Mus musculus: one gene and its partners. The protein of the gene in region 1 interacts with the protein of each later gene in a pairwise test. Links are inferred from orthologs where the notes say so. Each region holds a gene or a part of one and is shown in the gene's direction. Other genes may lie near its edges. The genes, in order: Bach2, Batf3 and Mafg.

Region 1 (5,608 bases):
ATTGTGTGTGCTGGACTCAGAAGTTGAGTTTATAGATAAGAATAGAGTTGTTCCGTTCCAGGAACACTGGGAGCAGGAGAGATGGTCCTCCCCAGGGAGGAGCACAAGTCCCAAACAGACATCCCTGAAAGCATACATACAGGTACCATTAGACGGACAGAATGGGTTATATTTAGGGATGTGTATGTATGTGTGTATGTATATACATACACATGTACACATGGAATAGCATTTAGTGAAAAAAGAGACCATGAATTTGAGGATTTTGGAGGGGTATGCGGAAGGCTTTGGAGGAAGGAAAAAGAAGGAAGAAATGTAGTTATAATATCCAAAAATCTTTAAATAATTTTTTAGAGAACAAAAGAAGAACCGTGGTTCTGCATCCAAAGTACCCAGGTTCAGTTCCCAGCACCTACTTGGAGGCTCCCAACTGTCTATAACTCCAGTCTCAGGGGATCTGACACCATCTTTTGGCTTACGCAGGCACTATATACAGGAGGGCTGCATGCACATGGTGCATTGTTATACATTCAAGCAAACACTCATACACATAAAGTAAAAATATATAAAATCTCAAAAAAAAAACCCTAAAGAAAAACTTGTGAGGACATGCTTGAAGCTCACATCACCAACGTGGTCGCTTGTTAGCTTTCTAGAGACCCAAGAAATGGTCAGAAACTCAGGCAGCCTGACACTCAGGTGACCCTCCGTGTGTCGCTTGCAGTGACAATGAAGGAAAACAACTGATAAGTCCTCATTTGAGAAAAACAATTGAAGTGTTTCTATGAAATATTATAATACTACAGGGATTCAAAAGTGTGTTTTCATTAACTGTAGCAACATTGCGACATGTTCTCTCTTATGTAACTCATATTTAATTTCATATTTAATAATTAAATAAAAACCCTCTATGTTTGTGTACCAAAAGAATACTGGTCCACAATCCAATTTTAAATCCAACACCTTTCAGGGTGTGGAGTGTGTGTGCGTGTGCGTGCATGTGCACATGTGTTCATGTGCATGCATGTACATGTGTGTATCCAACCCCAGAAGTTACACTGAATGGGCAGTGAGCTTCAACAACAAAATATCCTTAGTCATTTATTGGTCAAAGTTACCACTGTTCATTATTTTTTTTCCTTTACTCTTTACCTGTTTTTATGTGCTCTACAACAAACATTAACTCATTATCAGAGAAGAGGAAATAAATATGTCTAATCTTATGAATGAAAATTTTATCTGAGGACTTAAGGTTAGGTTAAAGCCAACAAGAAGCTTGTCTGACTTGAAAATAAACACTTTGGAGGCATAGATGTCAGCCAGAATTCACAAGTTAATCTAGAACCTCTTTTAGTTAAGACCACCACTTCGGCCTCCATACTGGGGCGTTTGAATTTGATGAAGAACGCCTTCTGAGATGCAGCCGGAGAGATCGGGGTGACTGGATCATAGCCACATCCAAGCTGTGGGGGTTCAAGTGAACACCTGATAAGGGAAGCTTGTCTGCAGGGAACGCCTGCAGAGGAGGTCTTCTGCCCGAATAGAGCCTAGATATTGGTACCTAGGGGGGATTGTCTTACTCTGGCCTTGTAGTTCGTTGAAGAGAAACACTAGAACCACTGTGGAGTACTGTGTTGTTCTCAAAGTTGAGTAGAGTTTGTGAGGCAGCAGGCAGGAGATTCACGGTGTGCAACACTCATCCACTAACGAACGGGCTTTCCCTTCCGGTCTAGGTGGACACTCACTGATCTATCACAAGATTGCCTCACTGAGTTTGGGGGTCCATGTCTGAATGGATTGCTGTAGCCTTCTCATCTCTTCCTCTGCCCAGTTCCCAGCATCCTAAGACTCGAAGCCAGGACAGGACCTGGGGAAATTATATGTAAGTTTTTACTAAGATTTCTTTTCTTTAACCCAACAAGGCTCAGTGTGAGGCAGTCATGCCAATAATCCAAGCACACAAAAGTTAACTTTCTTTTAAGAAAGTGTCATGAGAAATGTAAATTAAGCAAGAAACAAGGGCTGGAATCCCACTGTTAGTACTTCCTTAGCTCAGTGGTTCTTATTGTCAGCTTGCATCAGAGTCACACTGGCTGTTTTGAGCCAAAAGATCTGGTGTCAGCCAGCAATCTGCTTTACTAACATTTTCCAAGTGATGCTGATGTCAGTGCCCCAAGGCCCTCACTTTGAGAATCACCACTTTAACATAACTGTGTTAGAGGAGTGAATGGCAAAGGCGGGAATCTATATGCTTTAATATTGAATACATTAAGAGGTAGAACCTGTACTTACCTCATTGACACATACCTCAGAAAACAGCTCTAGGGTCTGCACGGCGGCTTCAGCTCAGAAGTCCAGTGGTTACCACGCGCCAGCATTCCTCCTACACTGCTGGCCACTCTTTGCCTTGGACTTTAGGAGGTCAGAGTAACGGTGCAGCTGTTAGCTTGAGGGAGTGGCCACAGTCCCTTGACAAGTGTGCACACCATGTTTGATGTCAAAAGGAGAATCCGTGGCTCCTTTGCAAAGTGAATCTTCATAGTACCATCCCTCCCTGGTACACTGAAATGTAATTTCATTTACAAAAGACACATCAGGGGAGGTACACCTCCAGTAAACAGTCGCTGAGCAAGGCTCGGTTTTTATGGATTTCCAGAGCCTCAGTCCTGCCTTACTTTGAGGTCAGCTCATTACCATGTTAGCTTCCAAAAGTCTAACTACTTAACCTAAGACAGTTTACCCTGCACTGATTCAAACCCATGAAGAGTTTGGCTAAGTAAATCCTCACTTGGATAAGGTGAGCGGACATACAGATGTACATACATGCTTGTGAGCATGCTCTGTTTCCAAGCCAATGTAGACATTTAAAGTATTTTTCTTTCATTTCATTAAATAAATGCGAATATAAAATAGTAATGGTGATACTGTCCTGTCTAGGAAACATCCAAGAAATTGCTGGGCATTTTAAATTTGTGGTAAGGCACTACAGTTTATAACGTTTTTCTTGGATGTGGTGAATGTTGTCATGCAAAGTAGCACTTGGGATTTGCAATTCTTTTATTATCATCATCGTCGTTATTATTTTAATTGAGAATGGCCGCTGTCGATACAGTATTTGCCACCCAGCTATGTTATCCTAGATGAAATAGGCCAGACATACTTAGTGCTGTTGCTCATAGGAGGTACCTGGGGTTGTCAGACTCACACAGTCCATAGGGAGAATAGTGGCTGCCAGCAGGAGGGCAGAGGAGTGGGGTGTATTTTTCAATGGGTACAGTGTGTGAGCTGGAAAGGTTATATTTTGGTAGAAGGTGGTGATGTTGGTTACACAGCAATGTATATGTTCTAAAGTCTCTTATGTTACAGTCTAACATAATTTTTTTAAAGCATAATAGCAGAACTCAGTCTTCCTTTCAAGAATGCTGGTCCTTGGCAGCAAAGTCACAGTTTGAGAGGCTGCGGTGCCATCGTACACCGCACTCTCATTGTGCTACTTTTTGTTTTCAATATTTTTTTTTACTTATTTTACATCCTGATCACAGCCCCCCCTTCTCTTCTCCCAGTCCCACCCATACAAATCCGTCCCCCCATTTCCCCCTTCCCCTTATCCTCAGAGAAGGAGAGCTCCCTTGGGTGCCCTATCCTGGGACATCTATTCCCAGCAGGACAAGGCACATCCCCTCCTACCGAGGCCCAACCAGGCAGTTCAAGTAGAGGGAATGTCCCATGGCAGGGGACACAGACCGAGACAGCCCCCTCTCCACTTGTTAGAGGACCCATATGAAGATCAACTAGGTCCAGTCCCTGATGTTTGGCTATGGGTCTCTGCCTCTGCTTCTATCCGCTGCTGGGTAAAGCCTCTCAGGAGACAGTCATGCTAGGTGGCTGTCTGTAAGCCTAGCAGAGGATCATAGTCTCAGGGGCTGGCATGCCCACATGAGATGGCTCTCAGTCATTGGTTGGCTGTTCCCTCAGTCTCTGCCCCATCTTTATCCCTGCACATCTTATAGGCAAGACAGATTTTGAGTTGAAGGCTTTGTGGGTGACTTGATGTCCCCCTCCCACCTCTGGAAGTCCTGCCTGGCTATAGGAGGTGACCAGTTTAGTCTCTACATCCCCTGCTAGTAGGAATCTCAGCTAGGGTGAACCCATACACTCCCCATATCCTTTCCCACTCCAAGCTTCCAAAGAGTCCCAGAGATGCCCTCCCCCATGATTTCCATTCTCACTCCCAGCCCTCTACTGTCCTCCTCCCTTCCCACACCTGATCTCCATGCCATCTCCATTCTCTCTCTCACCCCATCTCCCACCCAGTTCCCTCTCTCCATCCACATTTGATAACTATTTAGTTTCCCCTTCTGAGTGAGATTGGTGCATCCTCCCTTGGGACCTCCCTATTACTGTGAGTTGTAGCATAGTTATCCTGTACTTTATAGCTAATATCCACTTATACGTGAGTGTATGCCGTAAGTGTTTTGTCATAAGTGGGTCAGGGCTACCTTACTCAAGATGATATTCTCAAGTTTCTTCCATTTGCCTGCACAACTCATGATGTCTTTGCTCTTAATAGCAGAATAGTATTCCATTGTGTGATGTGTAAGTTGTTTCCAGCTTCTGACTACTATGAATAAAGCTGCTAAGGACGTACTTGAACAAGTGTCTTTGTGGAATGGTGGAGCCCCTTTTGGGTATATACGTAGGAGTGGTATACCTAGATCTTATATAGAGCTATTCCCAGTTTTCTGAGAAACTGCCAAATTGATTTCCAAAGCGCTTGTAAAAGTTTGCACTCCCACCAGCAATGGAGGTGTGTTCTCCTTGTTCCACATCCTCACCAGCACATGCTGTGGCTTGGGGTTTTGATCTTGGCCATTCTGACGGGTGTAAGATGGAATCTCAGGGTCATTTCGATTTGCGTTTTCCTAATGACTAAGGAAGCTGAGCATTTCTTTAGGTGCTTCTCAGACATTAAAGATTCCTCTGTTGAAAATTCTCTGTCTAGCTCTGTACCCCATTTTTAATTGGGTTATTTGGTTTGTTGGTTTCTAATTTCTTGAGTTCTTTATGTACTTTGGATATTAACCCTCTGTCAGAATTAGAGTTGGTAAAGATTCTTTTCTAATCTGGTGACTGCCGCTTTGTCCTATTGGTGGTGTTTGTAGCCTTACAGAAGCTTTTCAGTCTCATGAGGTCTCAGCAATTGTTGACTTAGTGCCTGAGCCATTGCTGCTCTGTTCAGGAAGTGTACTCCTCTACTAATATGTTCAAGGCTATTCCCACTTTCTGCATTAGATTCAGCATATCCAGTTTTATATTGAGGTCTTTGATCCACTTGGACTTGAGTTTTGTGCAGGGTAAATATGGGTCTATTTGCAGACAGCCTTCCTCTACATGCAGACAGCCAGCTAGACCAGCACCATTGTTGAAGATACTTTCTTTTTCCCAATGTATGGTTTTGCCTTCTTTGTCAAAAATCAAGTGTCCATAAGTGTGTGGGTTTATTTCTGAGTCTTCAATTCTATTCCACTGATCACCCTGTCTATTTCTATACCAATACCATGCAGTGTTTATTATTATCCCTTTGAAATACAGCTCGAGATCAGGGATG
Region 2 (5,641 bases), on another chromosome or scaffold:
ATGCCATAAGTAGACTAAGCCAATATAAGTCTGCTGTTGGCCCTGGCCCCAGGCTGTGGGGAGGACCCCAGAGGACTTGGAACAGGAAAGGAGCCCACTAGAATGACACACGGGAGTGCACTGGTATGTCGAGGATCACCCCCTCCAACACCCATTCTTAAACGTCTAAAAGTTAGGATCACTTGCCCCCACAAATTGCTTATTTTGTTAGTCTTTGGTTGTATTGAGATCTCATCCTGCTATTTAGCTCTAGTTAGCCTGGAGGTTAATGTATAGCCCAAGCTAGATAGTGGAACTTGTGGAAACCCTGCCTCAACCTTGTGAGTGGAGAAATTGTAGGCGTTGGCCACCACACCCCGTTTACAGGGTCCTTTAATTTTCAAGGACAGAGGTCCTGGGCTGACCCACACCAAGTGCAGGATGCTGTGCTGTGCACTCCTCTATACTGTGTGAGATGTAATTGTCTCTCTCTCTCTTCTCTCCCCTCCTTCTCCCCTCCCCCCACACCGGAGCATGCATGCATGTTGATAGAAGAGGGTCAGAACTAAAATTTGGGCGGAACCATTAGCATGGAGAGGCTCTGCTGTGATGTGTGGACACTGGCTATGCCGTGACCTACTAGCACACATGACCACTACTGGTGCCTAAAGCCGCGCAGGCAGGTTCAAACAAGCTCCTCTCTCCAGACTTACGGCTTAAATTCTGGCACAGAGCCATGCACACTGGGGTGAGGACTCAGAAAGGTCACCTCTCCCACTGCCCAGAAGCCAGTAGGCCAAAATGAGCACACGAGAAAGGCCACTCTTGTCTGGTTCCCATCCGTCCCCCAGTTCGTGGTTAGCTTTCCTCTCCTATGCTATGCACAAACCACAAACCTGCAACCGCTAGGGTTTTTTCTTTTTTTCTTTGCTGGGCACAGTCATCTTGACTTCATATTTTAAAAACTGGCAGGCGGGTGAAGAGGGATGAGATACGTCTCTACCTAGTCTGACATAAACATAGCAACCATATATTTTAGCCTTTAGTAGGTATCACCTTAATCTTGAAGAAGCAAATGCAGCTAGCCCATGGGACCTTAGCATGGCCTGCCCAGACCTTTGAATGTGTGAGGATGGACTTCAAGCGTGGTTTCGACTCACAACCTCTCTTTGCCGCTCCCCCCGCCCCGCCCCCCCCCATCAGAATTCGCCCTCCCAGTCACCTCGCCCCCTCCCTCCCACTGGACCAGACGCCGCCGCAGTGGAAAAGCCCTGAGGCTCCCGCTGTCCCCATAGCGCGGACGGTCTCTGCTGCGGTCCCTGCCCACTGGCGCCACCGGTCCAGGTGCCGCCTCGCCCGGAAGAAATCTCCCCATCGGCGGTGACCGGCGCTGGGGCGCTAAGGGAGGCTGCGAAGGGACATTGAAGCCACCGAGCCACTCACTGGTGCTTCTCACCCAAACTTCCCAGGAGCGGCCGGAGGACCGTCCACGGCGGCGCTGCGCCAGCACCCCGTCTCCACCCACTCGGGGTCTTCTCCGTGGGTGGGCTTCGGTGCTGCCACGTGACTTCCACGAAGAGCGGGGGCCCTTAGCGGAAAGCAGCGACTTGGGTGGGATCCTGGACCCCGAGGTGCGGCGAGAGGGTGGGGGGAGGAGGAAGCAGGGGCGGGGTGGGAGTAGGGGGCGGGGCCGGGCCGGGCCGGGACTGGACACGGGGTGGGGAGGCGGGCACCGTGGAGCCCGGAGAGCGGGAAGCGGCGGGGCGGGGCGGGGCAGCAAGTGCGGGGATGCGGGCGGAGCGCGGGTAGCAGAGCCCCACGTTCAGGGCGCCCCGTGTGGCGAGCGCGCGGCATGTCGCAAGGGCCCCCCGCGGTCAGCGTGCTGCAGAGAAGCGTGGATGCGCCCGGGAACCAGCCGCAGGTATTGGACAAGGGGGCCGGGTGTGAGGACCGGGTGAGGGTGAGGGCAGAGCTCCAGGTGCGCCCCCGCCGTGCGCCCCCGCCGTGCGCCTCAAGCGCTTGGGAAGGCGGCAGCCCCTCCAGACTCGGCGCCGAACACGTGGGTCCGCGCTGCTGTGGGCAGTTTCATCCTTGACTCCTGTGGGCGCTGGTGGGAGGGGGCCCGGAGCTCCGATATTATGAATTCAGCCCAAAGGGGCGGTTCGTCCCTGCATCCAACCCACTGGCCAAGATCCGCATGGGGAATGTCGGACCGGTCAATTTGTGGGTGTGGGGTTTTGTCTCTAATGGGCAGACTCCACCCCCAGCACGGGTGGAAACTTCTCGCCCCAATATGATCAGCACCCTCTGTTGTCCCAGCTTTCAAAGCTGTAGTCACAAGAAGCTGAGACCAAATAGAGGCCACTGTTGGAACACTTCTTGGCCACCTGGTTGCTTTATCAATAGATCAGGTCTTATTTTTCTTAGTCACCACACACACTCCCAACTCTCTGCTTGAAGTGTAATGTCCCAGGATGACCCTGGAAGTCTGAGCCAAGTAGTTGGAGTGGCCTTATACTATTTGCTTCGACTAGCGGAGCCTCAATTTCCCCATCTATAAGATGAACTCTTTTTGTATCTCCTGAGGACGTTTGCAGAGGTCATGTGAGTGATGGGTGATTTGTGTCTCCATTCGTCATTCCTGCCCAGAGGGAAGGTGTGATCATCTGTGGCAGGTGATGTGACAGCTCCCAGAGGACAGGAGGCATGCTGCCCCTTGCCCTGAGACTTGTTGGCTTTGGAGAATAGAGACATTATTTCCTGTCAAGCACCAGTGGAGAGCCAGTGAGGTCAAATCTCAGGTCAGCTTGATTCTGGGCAGCAGAGCCCAGCAGTGTTCTGAGTACAGGGCAGGGTCTTAGTTATTATATACGGTGGAAGGCTTTGTGAGGGTGTAAAAGCTGAAGTTACATCGTTTATATGGCATGTCCCCCTGGATGCTCCAGGTGTGTTTATCAAGACCTTTGGGGTGTAGTGATGCAGGAGTACAATTCCAGAGCTAGGGAGGAAAGGGAAGGGAGACTACGTGAAACTGTTGAAGAAGGGGGTGGGGGGAGGACTTCTGGAAGGCACGTTTTGACACCTGTGTTCTCCTGAGCAGGTGTTGGGTCTGCTGTCTCTTCTTATCTATGCCTGGGATTCCTGGCTGAAGCCCTGAGTTTGTACGCCAGCCTCTGGGTTTTGCTGTTGCTGTGGCTCCAGATTACACCCTGAGCCTCACCTACCACTAAGCTCCCTCCCCATCTAGACACCTTTTGAACTCAGTCTTGAAGGACATTTTTTTTCCTCCCCTGATGGTGTCAATTGCAGTTCTGGAAAGCAGACCCTTTCCTCTAAGTAAGCTCTCGCTGTGGTACGTGCATTTTTTTCTGCCTGCCCACTTCATGTCACCTCATGAAGGATTTTTGGATATTTGGTTAAGAACTCTCAAAACGCATCACAGATTTGCATTTGGAATAACCCTGACCTCTGAAAAGAAAATGTCAGCCAAGTGTTGTTCAAGAGAGCATGTCGTCATTAGTGTTCCAGAGTTTTCCACATACTGGTAGAGCTGTGTGGTTGCAGTTACTAATAAATGCATAACTATGGTCTGTATACAGTTTCAGAAGGACTTGCCAGTGTGTGGTAGTTTAAAGGCTGTGCACAGCAAGTTCTAGCGAGCACACACCCCAGTCTTTCTCACTCTCAGATGAGCAGTAACAGCACCGCTCTTCCAGGCAAACGCCCTGTGGGGCAGAAGTTTGTGAACGTTGGTTTGGGGACCAGCAAACCTGAGTTCCACTTCCCACTCACCCCCATGCTGGCCGTGGTACCTGGAGAACTTCCCTAACCTGAGTTTCTGATTCCTCGTTGTCTCATAGTATTTTTATTTTTTGTGGTCCTGGGTATGGAACACAGGGCCTGACATATCCCACACATATGGCACCACTAAGCTGCACCCCAGACCTTATATTCCTCATTTTAAAACAACAGTCTTTCTATACGCTTTTCAGTATGTGGGTGGTGATTAATATAAAGCAAAGCCCCACCACAGGATAGGTGTTCCTTAACAAAACCTCTCAGTAGCCCACTGGAGCATGGTGAGAGTCTGAGAGTCTTACCTCACCACATGTCATCCCCAGAGCCCCAAGGACGATGACAGGAAAGTTCGAAGGAGAGAGAAAAACCGGGTTGCAGCTCAGAGGAGCCGGAAGAAGCAGACCCAGAAGGCTGACAAGCTCCACGAGGTGAGCCTGTGGTCAGGTCAGGACTACAGGACAGCCACAGGGACAGCTGTCTCCTATCGGGGGAGGGGGCAGTGATGGCATCACGGTGCTCATCATCAGTCCTTCCAGTCTGATTCTTCTGGGTCCTCCCAGCCTATTGCTTTGCTTCTGTATTCTCGGGCCTCTTCCTCTCAGCCCCAGCCCCCGGGCTTCTTCCCACGCTTGATTTTTCTCTCACTATAGACTCAAACAAAAGCTAGATGTGGGGGCTCTCACACTATAGCACTCAGGAAGGTGGAGGCAGGAGAATACCCAGCCTGAGGCTAGTTGGAACTACAGAGAAACTGTCTATAGAAACAATAGTGACAACAGTAATAGTAATTAAAGTTCTGGAGGAGCAGCTCAGTGGAGTGCTTGTCTAATGTGCACAAGAATACCCTGGGTGGGAGTCTCAGCACCACATAAACCAGCCGTGGTGGAAGGAACACGCCTTCGAGATCAGCACTCGGGGGAGAGGCAGAGAATCACAAGTTCAAGGTCAAGTTTGTATTTATAGTGACTTTCAGGCTAGCCTTGGCTATATGAGGTATCGTCTCAAAAAAAAAAAAAAAAAGGAAGGAAGGAAGGAAGAGAGAGAGAGAGAGAGAGAGAGAGAGAGAAATTACTGAGAATTATGGCACTTGCCTTTAATCCCAGCACTCTGGAGGCAGAGGCAGGCAAATCTCTGAGTTTAAGGCTAGCCTGGTCTACATAGTGAGTTCCAGGACAGCCAGAGGGCTCCATAGTGAAACTCTATCTTTAAAAAAAGAGAAAGTAAATAAAAGAATGTGGGTGAGGTGGTACTTGTGAGGGTCAGGAGTTTAAACCATTTTTGGCTATATAGTAAGTTTAAGGCCAGCCTGGGCTACATGAGACCCTCTCCCTACCAAAACTAAAAATTGAAGAAGCTAAACAAAAATAGCTCTTTATACTTTTAATTCCTTTTCAAAATCTTGCCTCCTCCTCAGGGGGTGGTTTGAGAGAGAATGGCCCCTCTGGGCTCATACACAGAGTGCTCAGTGTGGAACTGTTTGGGAAGGATGAGAAGGTGTAGCTGCTTTGGAGGAGGTGTGGCATTGGCACTGGCTTTGAGGTTTCCAAAGCCCATGGAATTCCCACTTAGCTCTCTCACTATCTACCGCGTGCCTGTGGATCAGATGTAAAAATCTCAGGTGCGGTTCTGGTACCACGCCTGCCTGCTTCCAAGCCTTTCTACCTCTGGCTTTGTCTTATTTGTTTTTTGAGACCGTGTCACTATGTAACCCAGCCTGGCCTCCTGCTCAATCCTGCCTCTCAGCCTGCTGAGTGCTATGACAGGTATGTGCCACCAATTTCTCAGCTATCTCTCCTTTCCCTCTCCCTCCTTGTTCCCTCCCCCTCATCCCCTCCCTTCTCCCCTCTTCTCCCTCTGCCTTCCC
Region 3 (5,804 bases), on another chromosome or scaffold:
GACGTCCTCCCTTGGACTACCACCAAGTGATGAAGATAGAGAACTCATGGATGCACTGGGCCTCTGACTTAATATCTCCTGGTGTATGTGTGTTGAGGGTTGGGCTATAGTCTGGTGATTGAGCATTTGCCTCACAGTGGGGGACGGGGGTGAGGGGGGCTGAGGGCTTGCCAATCACGATGCATGCCTGAAGTCCCAGTTAACTTTTTCCCCCCCCTTCTCTTTGTTTTCTTGAGATAGGGTTTCTCTGTGTAGCCCTTGCTGTTCTGGAACTGTATTTGTTTGTTTGTTTGGTTGGTTTTTCGAGACAGGGTTTCTCTGTATAGCCCTGGCTGTCCTGGAACTTACTCTGTAGACCAGGCTGGCCTTGAACTTCCAAGTGCTGGGATTAAAGGTGTGCGCCATCACCACCTGGCTAGAACTGTTTTTGTTTTTTTGTTTATTTTAAGATCTATTTACTATTATAAGTACACTGTAGCTGTCTTCAGACACACCAGAAGAGGGCATCAGATCTCATTACAGATGGTTGTGAGCCACCATGTGGTTGCTGGGATTTGAACTCAGGACCTTCGGAAGAGCAGTCAGTGCTCTTAACCACTGAGCCAGCCCCTAGAACTGGTTTTTATAGACCATGTTGGCCTTGAACTCAGAGACCTACCTGCCTCTGCCTCCTGAGGACTGGGGTTAAAGGCCTGTGCTAACATGTCCAGCAACTCCCAGCTACTCTTGGCTGCAAGGCTTTGCAGCTAATCTGAGCAACAGAAAAAAAGGAAAGAGAGAAAGAAAGAGAGAAAGAAAGAAAGAAAGAAAGAAAGAAAGAAAGAACAAAGCGGATGTGGGAGCTCATGGCTGTGGTCCCAGCATTTGGGAGGCTGAAGCAGGAGGGTTGCTGCTGACCAACAGAGCCTATAGACTAAGACCCTATCTCATAACTAGAACAAGAACAAAGGGAGGGAGGATGAAGATAAGTAACAGAAACCCAGAGGTCTTGTCTCAGGGGTTTTATTGCCATGAAGAGACTCCATTCGGCAGCTCTTCTAAAGGAAAACATCTCATTGGGTCTGGCTTACGCTTTCAGAGGTTTAATCCATTATTGTCATGGAGAGTAGCAAGACTGAATCAGGGCCGACTTGCTGCTGGAGGATGGGCTTAGTTAGAGTTCTGCATTCTGAAGGCTGCAAGAAACTGTAAGTCACACACGGGCATAGCTTGAGTATATAAGACCTCAAAGCCTGTCCCCACAGAGACAATCGTCTTCCAACAAGACCACACCTCCTAATAGTGCCATTCCCTATGGGCCAAGCATTTAGACACGGCATTTAGAATTCATGCAGGCCATTTCTATTCAAACCACCACAAGGCATAAGGAGTAATTCTCTGTATTCTGAGACTCTGGCTACAGCCAGTGAAAGATAAAAGCTCCCCCCCCCCCACTCCCCAAAGAAATACAATGTAAAGAATTACTTTTTGAGGCTGGGTGTGGTGGCACATGTTTTTAATCCCAGCACTAGAGAGGCAGAGGCAGTCGGATCTCTGAGAGTTTGGGGCCAGCCTGGTCTAAACCTTGTCTCAAGAAACCAAATTTGACACAAAGGACACACACAGGCCCCCTCCAGCCTGCTTACCCCCTTTTCCTTGTCACCTATGTTACAGAACGAGTCACCTTTTCACGATTCCCAGAGAAGACAGGGTCAAATAGAACGTTCAGAACCTCGAAATGAAAACTTGATCCCTCCTACTTTCCTTCTTTTTTACTTTTTCAACAGCAGCGAGAAGTCTCACAGAAAAAGTAGCAGCAGAATGCACCCAAAGTAGTTTCAAATGCGGCAGAGAAGGGTTGGGCAAAGTGCACAACTCCTACAGTGCACGCACACTACCCGAAGAGATGGTCCACGGCCGCAGGTGAAGCCCCTAGCACCCTCCGGAGATTAGAATCATTAGTGAGCGTCCTCCAAGCCTTCGTGTCATCGTGGATAGTTTGGGGATCTGAGCTGGGGTTGGGGCTGTGCCCCTCAACAGCCGTGTCCTTTTCAGACTGCTGACCCATTTAGAATGAGGACGTCGCAGCAGAACGGGGTAAGGAACTAAATCACTGTGTCACACCTTCAAAACAGCAAATAGGTTCCCGCGTGGTGACGCTCATCTGTGAGTTCCGCTTTCAGGGGGCCGAGGCAGGAGCATCTCAGGGAATTGAAATCCAGTCTGCTCGCTGTACAGTGAAACTATGCATCCAAGTGAAGAAAATCAAACAAACCTCCCATAGACCTCGGTCTGAGTTGGTGTGGAGATCGGGAGGGAGCTAGAGGCATCCGAGTTGGGGCCACTCCGTAGAACCTGTCTCTGCAGGAGCACGGTCAACCCGGCGAGCGCCGGGACGACTCCCGCGAGACATTGCCAGGGCGCGGCGGGCGTTGCCAAGGGCAACGGCGCGGGGCTGCGCAGGCGTGATGGGGGCGCGCTCGCCTTGCTGCCGCCTCGCCTTTCCCTTTAAGCTTAGGCCAGCCGCGTCGCCGCTTCATGAATGGAACCCACGTGACCAAACATCATGTGACGTCTGAGGAGCGGCGGCGGCGGCGGATTCTGAGCCCGGTCCGGCCCGGCCTTCCCAGCGCGCTTGGCCCGGCCCGCGCAGGCGGCCAGTCCTCCTAAGCCCCCGGCCCGGACCCTTCGCGCCCGCCCCAGCCCCGCGCAGCCCCGGAGCGCGCGCGCGCGGCCCCGCCCCAGCCCCGCCTTGGCCCGCCCGGGCCCGCAGTGTGGTGAGTGCGCGGGGCTGGGGCGGGCGGCGGGGCCTGGCCTCGGGGTTGCGGCGCACCCGACGGCAGCGCGTGCCTTGGTTTCCCCGCCAGCCGGCTGTTCGCCTGTGTCCCCCTAGAGCCGGCGGACCGGGCGACCGCGAGGCTGGGGACGGGCGTGCGCGCGGCGGCGGACCCCGGGTGCCCTGCGGGGGGCGCGATTTAAGGGCGAGCTGCGCGCGTCTGCCCGGGTCAGCGGGGTGGCCGCACCGAGCTGCTGACTCATCAGGTGTCCGTCGGCTTCCGCGCGGGCGGGGTCGCGCGCGGGCCCACAGGGGAGGCGGCGGGGAGACCCTGCTGCGCGGCTTGGGCTCGCCACGCGGGTGCGAGCCCAGCGGAGACGTGCTGAGTCATCAGCATGAGGTCACTCGGTGCTCCTGCTGACGCTGGGCCAGGGCGGGGGGCCGGGGCCCGCTATCGGCCGGTCTAGTCGGGAGACAGGGCTCGATCCGGGTGGTGAAGGTCGGGCCGGGATCCGGGGTCGTGTTTAAGTTTGACAGACCTGTGAGTTGGAGGCAAAGGCTCCGAAGGAGGCATTGCAGGGGCGCGCCGCAGGTTTCTCCCGGGGTGGAAGGTAAAGCCCCGGGCGTGCGCATCCTTGCCTGGTTCTTGGGCTCCTGGCCCGGGTCCCACAACTGGGGCAGTTCCCCAAACCCGGAGACCGATCGGTGTACGCTGAGGGGAGGAGCTTAGGTGGGCCGAGCCAGCTCGTCTGGGAAGCAAGCTTTCCTTCTCTGTGACCCTGAATGGCCAGGCTTCGTCGGTCCTAGATGGGGAAGACCGGGAGGCAGGGGGAGAAGGGTCTGTGGCTTGAAAGAAGCTGGGGCAGCTCTAACCAGCTAAGGAGAGCAGAGTGTGGATCTAGGCAGCTGGTGAGAGTTTTTGAGGTGCAACCATGGAGTAGAAGATGTAGTTTTATTTATCCCAATGTTATTCCTTTCAGAAGAGTTTGGGGTCCCACTGTTGCCTGGAGTTACCAAAAAGTGTGTGTGCCCTGTTGGGTGTCTGGAGACTCTTGGGAGGTGACAGTTTTGTGGGGTGTGGCTGAATGGCTGTTTACTGACTTATCTGTCGTGAAGGTTCTTGAACTCCATCCTACTGCTTTCCTTGCCCAGGGATTCATGTCTAGACTGTGCTTACCTTGTGGTTTGTGCTAAGGGATGTCCCCTTAACCCTGAGCCCTGAGGCTGCTCATAGGTGCAGTGTTTTTTTCATTTGGTGTGGAACTTGCCCTATGAAACTTCAAGGTTCCAGAAAATTGTTAAACTCCGGAGGCACTGTGCTTCAGTGAACTTAATGTTTTCCGTTCTCTTCAAACAATGTCAGTACCTGAAGGAGAGAAGACCTACGTAGGGGGTCTCCTGCATTGAGGTTTACAGGCAAGGTTTAGCAAGGAAGGGTCACTATCTTGCTTGAGACTAATGTCCAGATTGTCTAGTGTGAGAGGACAGAGGTGCCCAAACCCCTTCTTTAAGGGTCAGCCTGAATGAGTGGTCCAGAGCCCCTTGGTGTCTTGAGTCTGTCCATAACTGTGAGTACTTGGAGGGCTGAGTTGGAGGCAGCAGGTCCAGATCAGCTTCTCTGAGCTTCTTCCTCAGGCTCTGGAAAGCTCTCTAAACTGTATCCCTCAGCACAGCTGTCCCCCCCAGAACTGTCTGCCTAGTCACTGTGTCCCTAGGTTTGCAGAAGCCAGGCAGGTAGCTGGAAGAATTGGCTTTCCTGAGACCTGCCCTTCCCCCTTAAGCACACATGCGTATAAACATGTACACACACTCGCTCTAACACACACACATTCTCTCTCTCTCTCTCTCTCTCTCTCTCTCTCTCTCTCTCTCTCTCTCTCTCTCTCTCTCTCTCTCTCTCTCTCTCGTGCACCTTTGATCAGGAGGCAGTTGGCTGCACTTGTGCTGAGTTCAGGCCTTTGGTGGAGGTAAAATCTGTTGAGAAGGCACTTTTCAGCTCCCAGCCGCCACACTCTGCACTTTCCTGTGCGATCTCAGGAAGTCACCGTTTTGAGCTCAGCAGTCTGTATAAGGGAAGCTCCTGCCAGGACTGTCCCCTCACCTCGACTTATGCTCCTAGTGTGAGTATAGGGCCAACTTGTAAGAAAGACAGATGCCCTTCAGACCTCTAGATCTGAGTTCTGCCTTTCTCTTTGATCTAGCAGTACTGTTGCCTCTGAAAATGCTCCTAATCTAGTCCTGTAGATTTAGTCCTGGTTTGCTTGCTCAGTGTTTGCATGTAGCCACACCTCCTGTTCAAAGCTAAAAGCAGTAGGGTAAAGCTAATGAGAATGTGTTAGTTCCTTTGATAAGATGAACCAACTCCCCATCCAGCACATTTTTGCCTGAAGTGCTCACAGACCTGCAGCAACCTCACTTCCCTCATTTCCCTGCACCTAACCTGGAAAGGAGAGGATGTGCCTGTGGGACTGGTGGGTGTTGGGCTAAGTGGGGATTCCCAGCCTAGGTACACAAGAATGTCCTTGGCAAGGCTTTAGAAAGCTGAAAATGAGGTTGAGCCCGGAGGGGCGGCTGACTGTAGGAGGGACCTGTTTTGCTTTTGTTCCCTGGCCCTGTGGTCACTGACCCTAGGCAGAGAGCCAAAGACCAGTCAGTGACCTGAAGGGGCTGGCTCTTGCCTGCTTCCAGCTAACAGTGCTCTTCCTCTGCTAATTGTGGGAGCCCTTGTGAAACACCCTGTGTCGGGTGGGGCAAGAGTACAGGATGCTGCAACCAAGCCACAGGATGGTTACCCCATCTGTAAAGGAGATGGACGGGGAGGACTGGAGGGGCCTGGGCTCAGCTCCTCCCAGCCGGATTGCCTGCTACCTGGAAGGTGAGAGGATTCCCAGTCAGCCAGTTAGAACAAACCTTATCCTCTGCCAGACTGAGGCAGGAAGCAACCTCCTACCTAAGTCCTAGAGGGAGAAAGGGCTTTCTTTTGTCCTGGGCCAGCTTAGGGAACATATATGGGAAGTAGGACCTTGGAATACAGGGTCCCTGGCTGATC

The links.
Region 2: the proteins of Bach2 (region 1) and Batf3 interact in binary tests that used the Homo sapiens proteins (3 or more experiments, as listed by UniProt). The link is inferred for Mus musculus from reciprocal best matches to the Homo sapiens genes BACH2 and BATF3.
Region 3: the proteins of Bach2 (region 1) and Mafg interact in binary tests that used the Homo sapiens proteins (3 or more experiments, as listed by UniProt). The link is inferred for Mus musculus from reciprocal best matches to the Homo sapiens genes BACH2 and MAFG.

What each region holds. Positions count from the first base shown.
Region 1 is NC_000070.6:32,415,702-32,421,309, forward strand, and holds the start of Bach2 (transcription regulator protein BACH2), read left to right. Parts: upstream 1-1,733; 5' UTR 1,734-1,882; intron 1,883-1,906; exon of another isoform or gene 1,907-5,608. UniProt on the Homo sapiens protein: Transcriptional regulator that acts as a repressor or activator. Binds to Maf recognition elements (MARE). Plays an important role in coordinating transcription activation and repression by MAFK.
Region 2 is NC_000067.6:191,096,628-191,102,268, forward strand, and holds the start of Batf3 (basic leucine zipper transcriptional factor ATF-like 3), read left to right. Parts: upstream 1-1,786; 5' UTR 1,787-1,831; coding exon 1,832-1,900; intron 1,901-4,100; coding exon 4,101-4,205; intron 4,206-5,641. UniProt on the Homo sapiens protein: AP-1 family transcription factor that controls the differentiation of CD8(+) thymic conventional dendritic cells in the immune system.
Region 3 is NC_000077.6:120,630,314-120,636,117, reverse strand, and holds the start of Mafg (transcription factor MafG), read left to right. Parts: upstream 1-2,570; 5' UTR 2,571-2,756; exon of another isoform or gene 2,757-5,518; coding exon of another isoform or gene 5,519-5,630; intron 5,631-5,804. UniProt on the Homo sapiens protein: Since they lack a putative transactivation domain, the small Mafs behave as transcriptional repressors when they dimerize among themselves.